Linked DNA regions of Coturnix japonica. The protein of the gene in region 1 purifies or fractionates together with the protein of each later gene. This does not show direct contact. Links are inferred from orthologs where the notes say so. Each region holds a gene or a part of one and is shown on either strand. Other genes may lie near its edges. The genes, in order: ACAD9 and TIMMDC1.

Region 1 (3,714 bases):
GTGTCCCGTACTTTGTTGACCAGCTCCTGCAGTGCCAGTCCTACGTTTCCTTTCTTGATTTCTCTAGAAGTAAAGGACAATGGGATGCATTGGCTGGTATGCGAGGGAAGTTTCAGGGTAAGCGCATTATCGAGATATCTGCAGTGTTTGGAGCCTTTTGGTCCATTTTACTATGAAGTCTGGAGGACCACCCAGCCTTAGGAGCATTCAGCACAGCCCACACTCCATTCCTGCTCTAAATGCAATGAACTGCAGACACCAGCCTACGTATGCACTGCAGATGCTACAGCTGGCTGACCAGCAACACTTGGTATAAAATCTGAGGTCACTAGGCCTTATTATAATTATACACAAGCTGCAAATACAAGGTAAGATACAGTCAGGCAGGAGTCCCAAACATAGAAAATACAGCCAACTAAAAAGAAAAGACAGCTGTACGTTGAACTGCCCGTCAGACAATATATTGGGAAATGCAGCAGTTTTCCAACCATTTCCCCCTTGCATACAGTTAAAATTATCACTGTTTATTTAGTTCATTAAAAACTAATAGCAATAAATAAGAACATACTTAAGTTTGTCAGTTAAGATTTTGCCTGCGTGCTGCATACCCGTCAGAGCAATGTACATCCGCAGGATCTCGTTTGTTCCCTGCAAACAAACACACTGCAGTCACTGCCGAGTACAAAGTATGTTCAGTATCCCCAAGGCCTGGCTGTGCTGATATGGATTTTGTTGTAGCTTCAACACTATTCACTGCCTACATAAATGACGTACTCTGCTTTTCCTGGCAATATTCTACGGTGCATTTGTGCTTGTGAGGTACCATTGTTTTGAGACAGCAGCAGAACAAGATAACCATCACATGTAGGTTAATCAATAAAACCCATCAACTCCAAGTTTATTATAGGACAAATACTACCTATATCACCAAAGAAAGCAAGATTAGTTCTTCAGGCTTATTCCAACTATTACAGACTTCAGATCTAACCAGATCAAGGCCGATTTAAACGTCCTGCACACTTCAGGTTTACAGAAGCTGCGTGTGGTGGTGAAAACAAACAGCACATTCATTCATACTTGCCTCAAAAATGAGCAGTATCCTGGAGTCTCTGAGATAGCGCTCATAGGGGTATTCCTTCATGTAGCCGAGGCCTCCAAGAATTTGCAGAGCTTCGCTTACACAAGTCCACAAACCTTCAGAACTGAACACCTGCCATTAACAGCATTCAGTCACCATGGTTCACACAGTAAGAGCAGACGACATAGCTCTGTTACTATACTGCAAGTTCAAACAGGATGTAACACTGAATTTGGAGGGATTCTATCTGTGCCATTGCTGTAACACTTCGTATCGCTTCCACAGCAGCCCTGCATAAAGTTTTCATGAAATAATGTTCTTGTGCCTCAGGGTGTCAAAGTGAAAAGTTACTTGAACAATGAACACCTCCTCTACTTGCAGTCCACGTAAACTGCCTAATAAGGCCACATTTCCATAGGGCTCAGAGCCACAAGCTGAAAGAACAAACACAGCTGGTGTTTCTGAGTACCTGACACTGGCCCATTTCACACACGTTCTGAACTCAGCACACAGCAAAGAGCAGCACAAGGGCTGAATTTCCAGCTTCTCTTCAGGCTGCACTGCCAGCCAACAGCACCCACCTGTGTGCTGCAGGGACGCCTCAAAAGGTCGAACTCCTGAGTGGGCCTGGCTCTCACTGAGTGAAATCTGCAACTGATTCTGTGTCCAAGCCAGAATTAGGAGCTCCCTAATCAGGTCTGCAGCTGGAAATAAAACTTAAACACTTTCTTTGTGTGTGAAATTGCATAAAAGAGAATTCAAGAGGACCCTGACACTCCAAGTGTGCTGTATGCGGCCTGTCTTTTGTGTGGGGATACAAGCCTGAATGTACAGTAATCTGTAATGTATGGGAAACAAAAAAAGTCTTCTAATTTTTAAATCAAGCTGATGTTTTTGTATGTACATCCAAAAGTATCACCTGAGCCTCTACGCAGTTTGTAACATAGACTGAAGATCAAGGAAGGCGTCTGTCTTTATTAGCTCAGTGCTGACAGCAAGTCCTTCCTAAGATGAATTACCTTGACCATGGCTGCCTCCACAGAGCAGTCTGGGATGCCCGGCCTGTCCATCATTCCTGCTGTGAGATAAGCCATGCTCTCCATTACATACGCCTTCACGGCCATTAAGCAAAACTTCTCCTGCCAGATAGGAATGAAAGCAGTCACACGCTGATGCAGAACACGTAGCCAAGTGTGCAACAATGCTGAAACTGAGGAGTTTTTCTTCCTATGCTTTGACATATTATCCAATAATATCTAATAAAAGCAGTACTGCAAAGCACTCATGAAAACTCTTCAAGTACTTTTGCTTCTCAAAATTACAAAGATCAATGTACAGAAATCTGCCCTGAATTGACACAAATTGAACACCTCTTGTGTTTGATCTGTTACACACAGCACCGTCTGTCACAGCACTCAGCAAAACAAAGCACGGAGGTGAAGGGTTTCCATTTTTTTTAGTTACCTGAATTAATCCGAATTCGCTCAGATTCTTGTTGAATTGCTTCCTGGTGCAGGCGTGCTCCGCTGTCATTTCTTAAAAACAAACAAAAAAGCCACAAAGCAATAATATCAGCATAGCACAACACTCATTGCTGTGGTGTATCATCCCTACTGTATGGAAACAGTGCTTTTCTATTGACTGAACAACCCCCACTGCTTCCTTGACAGCACACACTGAAAATCCCCCTAAGAACGACTGTGTGATTGAGTCTGGAATGCCTGCCAAAGGCTTTTAACCAAGACCCACCCTCCATACCTGCATGTAGAGGAAGCCCGTTTTAATGCTAATTAATTACTTTTTTTGACAGATGCCCGTTAGCACTTTGGGTAACTATTGGTAGAAGCCAATTTTAGTGCCTGAAAACTTTGAACCTGATTGTGTTCATAAGAGGAGGCAGAATCTTCAGCGTTCTACAAGTTTTTAAATCAAAATTCAAAGTAAAATTAGTGTAAAATTATACATCAAGGTATATAATGACTGACATTAGTGATGTTCTGATCAAGACTAATGTTACTGATAAATATACCTTACACAGATCAATTTTTTTCCCCCCCATGGCATCTAGTAATCCAGCACACCTCATTCACTCACCTATCAACTTTTTAATCACTCCAGCAGATGCACTACCCATGCTGAACCTTCCACTGTTCAGGATATTCATGGCAACCTGTGGAAATAAAAAAGGGCGACATTTCTCTACTGAAAAATGACAAGAAAACGTGCTGGATTTCAGAGGAATGAGCTGGAGGAAACAGCCCAGAAAAAGCCCCCAGACACAGAGAAATATCTGTCCTGTACAGCACAGGAGAAAGGCATACGTGTTTATACTGGTGCTGCAGCTCGTCTCTGCTGTTACAGAGGAGGAAGGCAAAAATTCTACCTGGAAGCACAAATATTGATTTGATTTTTCTTTTAAATTTTCAGTCTATACCCAACAGTCTCATCTTAGTGAACACTATTACCCTCACAGGGTACCACGCTGCTCGGATGCAATGAAGAGAAGCCATGTCTGCAGCAGCACTGCTGTGCCCTCCCAGCACCTTGTGCTACGTAACCTGGGCCTGGGAAACCTCCTGGCCATTCTCTGGGACTCTGGGCACGGTCTGGCCAGACTTTCCTTGAACGTTTCCTGT
Region 2 (3,914 bases), on another chromosome or scaffold:
CCTAATGCTGCATTTATGCCACACAAGCAATTTTCACACAAAAACTCCAACAAGTATTTTGAGAACGGACTAACAACCACAAAATTCCCCACTGCTTTCAGATAATGCATTGATTGTGTGTTACAAATAAAGGCAGACAGCAACTACACCATGGAGCAAAGTTCCAAAGACAGCCAGCATAACAGCAAAATGGGTGCAACGATGCCACAGGCCTGCTCATATTCAAGAGATACAGATTCCTGCTTATGATTTTCTATTTATGACCTCTGCTTAACGACACTGATAAAGTAAAGCACACAGATAAAAGTACCCAGTCTTACCTCCTGCTGAAGCAAAATTACTGATGGTGGTTTTATCGCGGTACACGGACAGACCGGTGCTCACCATGCTGTAGGGGTGAGGCATAAAGAGGCAGTTACACATGAAAAAGACACCGCTTGAAAAGAAGCAGGATTTCATTAAGCCAACCCTCAGGGTACCTCTGTGCCCTGCTACCAGCCTGGCCAGAGCACACACATACACACATGCCAACCACAAGTGCTTTATTTCCACAACTTTACCGCATGCAGCTGGACAGCCAGAGGTTGGGGAGTACTACTTTGGGATAGTCTTTTTTCCTTTCTTGTAAATCAAATACTCAATTTTTTAGTTTTTTAATTCATCCTATATTCAAGAATAAAAGGGATTGAGCAATACAATGATCCTCTCAACCGTACAGCTACCACTAGGGCTGAATCGTACCCGAGGTGTCACCAGGACTACCCGCTCCTGAAGCAGAAGGTCCCCTGCTGGATTAGGAGCACCACCTCCACCATCTCTCTCTCTACCAATGTAACTTCAACCCTTCCAAAATGTGGAACTAACAACCTGTTTGTAAACCACAAAACTGGACATGTATTTAACTGCAGCACAAAACCTTCAACTTAGATTTTAGGGTGGGGGGCACATCACAGGCTGCCCAGGGTAGTGGGCACAGCCAGAGTTTAGGGAGTTGAGTGTAGAGCCCAGAGTTGGACTCAATGATTCTTTGTGGAGCCCTCCCAGCATGGGACATTCTATGATTCCATACAGAAACAAGTAACACTGAGCAGCGCCTCCCTTCAGAGCCTTTCACAAAGGGGCAGTGAAAAGGACGATGCATTTGCTTGCATGGGAGACATCTGGTGGATGGCAATGACAATGCACGACTAGTCCTGAAAAATCTAAAGCATTAGAAGTTCTGGAAGAGAAAGCAAACAGCATCCTGACTGCACTCAAGCAAAGATACTGTGGCAAAAGATACTGTGGCATTGGGCATGGTGATGTTCCTAGTTGTGATTACTTACAAACTGTAAGTATTGCCACTGTACACAACACTGTACACAAGGTGATAAGATGTAACAAAAAGGAGAAAAATTAGTTGGAAGGGACCTCTAGAGATCGTGGAGTCCAACCCCCCTGCCAAAGCAGGCTCCCTACACCACGTCACACAGGTAGGCGTCCAGGTGGGTCTTAAATATCTCCAGAGAAGGAGACTCCACCACCTCCCTGGGCAGCCTGTTCCAGTGCTCCGTCACCCTCACTGTAAAGAAGTTCTTGCACACATTCATGCAGAACTTCCTATGCTCCAGTTTCTCATCCTGTCTCCACACGCTGCTGAAGAGTCTGGCCTCGCCACTTTGCCTCCCACACCTTAGATGTTTATAGACCTGGATCAGTTCCCCTCTCAGCCTTCTTTTCTCAAGGCTAAACACAGTTCACTTAACCTTTCCTCACAGGGTAGATGCTCCAGGCCCTTCACCATCTTTGTGGCCCTCCGCTGGACTCCAAAGAAAGCAGTTCCAGAACAGCCGGTGCACTGTAACCCTCTCCAAGAGAAAAATGCTGCCACAAAGTGAACACTTACTTGAATATGGCCACGAAGGTGGCCACCCTCCAGCTCCAGCGCCAGCCGTAGCGGATGAAGCCCCTGAGCCCGGCACGGTGCGCAGATTGCTGTGGGGAGGAGGAGAAGGGTTACAGTCGGCAGCCCAGCTCCCCTTCACTATCATCCCACTGTGCTGCGGGCTGCTGCCGAGCGGCACCGACCCAACTCGAGGCGCTGGGAATGGCACCCCCTAAGGGTAAATAAAGCCGATCCCTTCCTGAGGAATGGGAGTCTATGTTTACACCTGAACAGGCACCCCAACAATTAACTCGCAGAGGCAAACCGACACCACTCCACCCCATCGTGCTTCTGCCTGCACATCATCCCCTCCACCACCCCCGCTCAGCACCGAGGGCCGCAGGCAGCTCTCCCCGCGATTCGCCCCCGGCCCCGTACCACCGCATCGGCGCGGTTGTGGAACACGTCTCCCTGGCTGCCCTCGATGAAGGCCCTCCTCGCCTGGCGGAAGGCGGGCAGGCCGCCGTACAGCCAGCCGACCAGGCCCCCGGTGAACGCCGACTTGATGATGTTGATCGTCTCCTCCGGGTACCGCTGTAACTCGCTGCAAGGAAACGCCGCGGCTCAGCGCGGAGCCGCGCGGCTCGGACAGGCCTCGGCTCCTCGCTCCGCGGGGCAGCGCCAGGCCCCGCACCCGGAACCCCCTCCCTCCGTCCCTCCCGCCGCCCCGGCTCGTCCCGGCTCGTCCCGGCCCTCACTCGCGCCGCCACAGCTCGCTGAGCCGCTCCCAGCCCGTCTGCGGCGGCGGCGTGGGGCGGCCGAAGGTGCCCCCGGCTCCCAGCCCCTCCGCCATAACCTTCCCGGCGGCGGCGCTGAGCGAGCACCGCAGCGCCCCCAGCTCCACGGCTGAGGGAGTTGGGTTTGTTCAGCCTAGAGAAGAGAAGGTTGCGGGGTGACCTCATTGCAGCCTTTCAATACCTGAAGGGAACCTACACCCAGGAGGGGAGTAAACTCTTCGAAAGGGCTGACAATAGCAGGACACGGGGAAATGGCTTTAAGTTAAAAGAAGGAAGATTTAGGTTGGATGTTAGGGGGAAGTTCTTTACTAGGAGAGTGGTTAGGCCCTGGAACAGGCTGCCCAGGGAGGTTGTGGATGCCCCGTCCTTGGAGGTGTTCAAGACCAGGTTGGACAGGGCCCTGGGCAACCTGATCTAGTAAAGGCGTATGTTTGGTGGCCCTGCCAGGCAGGGGGGTTGGAACTACATGATCCTTGAGGTCCCTTCCAACCTGGGTCATGCTGTGATTCTGTGTGATTCTGTGGGGCACGGTGGGGCTTGGGAACCCCTTGCAGAGTGAGCGAGCTTCTGTGTGTGGAAGGGAAGAGAAGGGCCCATGGCTTTTGTTCCCGTGTTGGCTGCCAATTTTCTATCGCATGGTGTCTGTGTCTGCCCCCATCCCTGGAGGCACTCAGGGTTGGATGGGCCCTGGGCAGCCTGAGTTGGTGGGGGCAGCCCTGCCCATGGCAGGGGGTTGGGGCTGGGTGGGCTGCGAGGTCCCTTTCAACCCAAATAGTTCTATGATGCCATGAACATGACACACCACCTGGGTCTTCGCTTGTGCTTCCCATTAGCAGATCTGGCCCAGCAGCAGTGCCACCATCACAGGCCGCTGAGACCTGTGCCAGCTTCTGGTTCTACCGTCTTGATTCTTACTGTTGTAAGTCGTTGGGAGGTTCCAAATATCTGTATTTGTGCAAGGGCTCACCCTGAAGTGTGGGTCTCCAGTGCTATGGCAGTACATCTTACACGTGCTTACAGGCACTGTGCAGAACACCCTTCACATCCCACCCTTTATCTCAACGGCAGCCCTGAGGGAAGTCCCATCACTTCTAGGAGTCACCTCCCTGCCAGTGCAGGCCCATCCTGTGAGGGAGGAGTGGAGGCAGTTACTCATGGCTGTTCTAGGAAAGCAGCTAAGGAAAAAGGCTGAGGAGTCACCAGCTCACGCAAGCCATCATTCAGGAAGAGTTTTCAGTCACCGTCACACATGA

The links.
Region 2: the proteins of ACAD9 (region 1) and TIMMDC1 purify together in Homo sapiens (affinity purification with mass spectrometry; 3 studies listed by BioGRID and IntAct, counting the BioPlex papers as one, with this or other methods). This does not show direct contact. The link is inferred for Coturnix japonica from reciprocal best matches to the Homo sapiens genes ACAD9 and TIMMDC1.

Annotation. Positions count from the first base shown.
Region 1 is NC_029527.1:3,505,380-3,509,093, forward strand, and holds part of ACAD9 (complex I assembly factor ACAD9, mitochondrial), read right to left. Parts: intron 3,249-3,714; coding exon 3,173-3,248; intron 2,614-3,172; coding exon 2,543-2,613; intron 2,218-2,542; coding exon 2,098-2,217; intron 1,211-2,097; coding exon 1,082-1,210; intron 649-1,081; coding exon 569-648; intron 64-568; coding exon 1-63. UniProt on the Homo sapiens protein: As part of the MCIA complex, primarily participates in the assembly of the mitochondrial complex I and therefore plays a role in oxidative phosphorylation.
Region 2 is NC_029516.1:82,792,469-82,796,382, forward strand, and holds the start of TIMMDC1 (complex I assembly factor TIMMDC1, mitochondrial), read right to left. Parts: upstream 2,766-3,914; 5' UTR 2,718-2,765; coding exon 2,623-2,717; intron 2,469-2,622; coding exon 2,303-2,468; intron 1,975-2,302; coding exon 1,886-1,974; intron 389-1,885; coding exon 321-388; intron 1-320.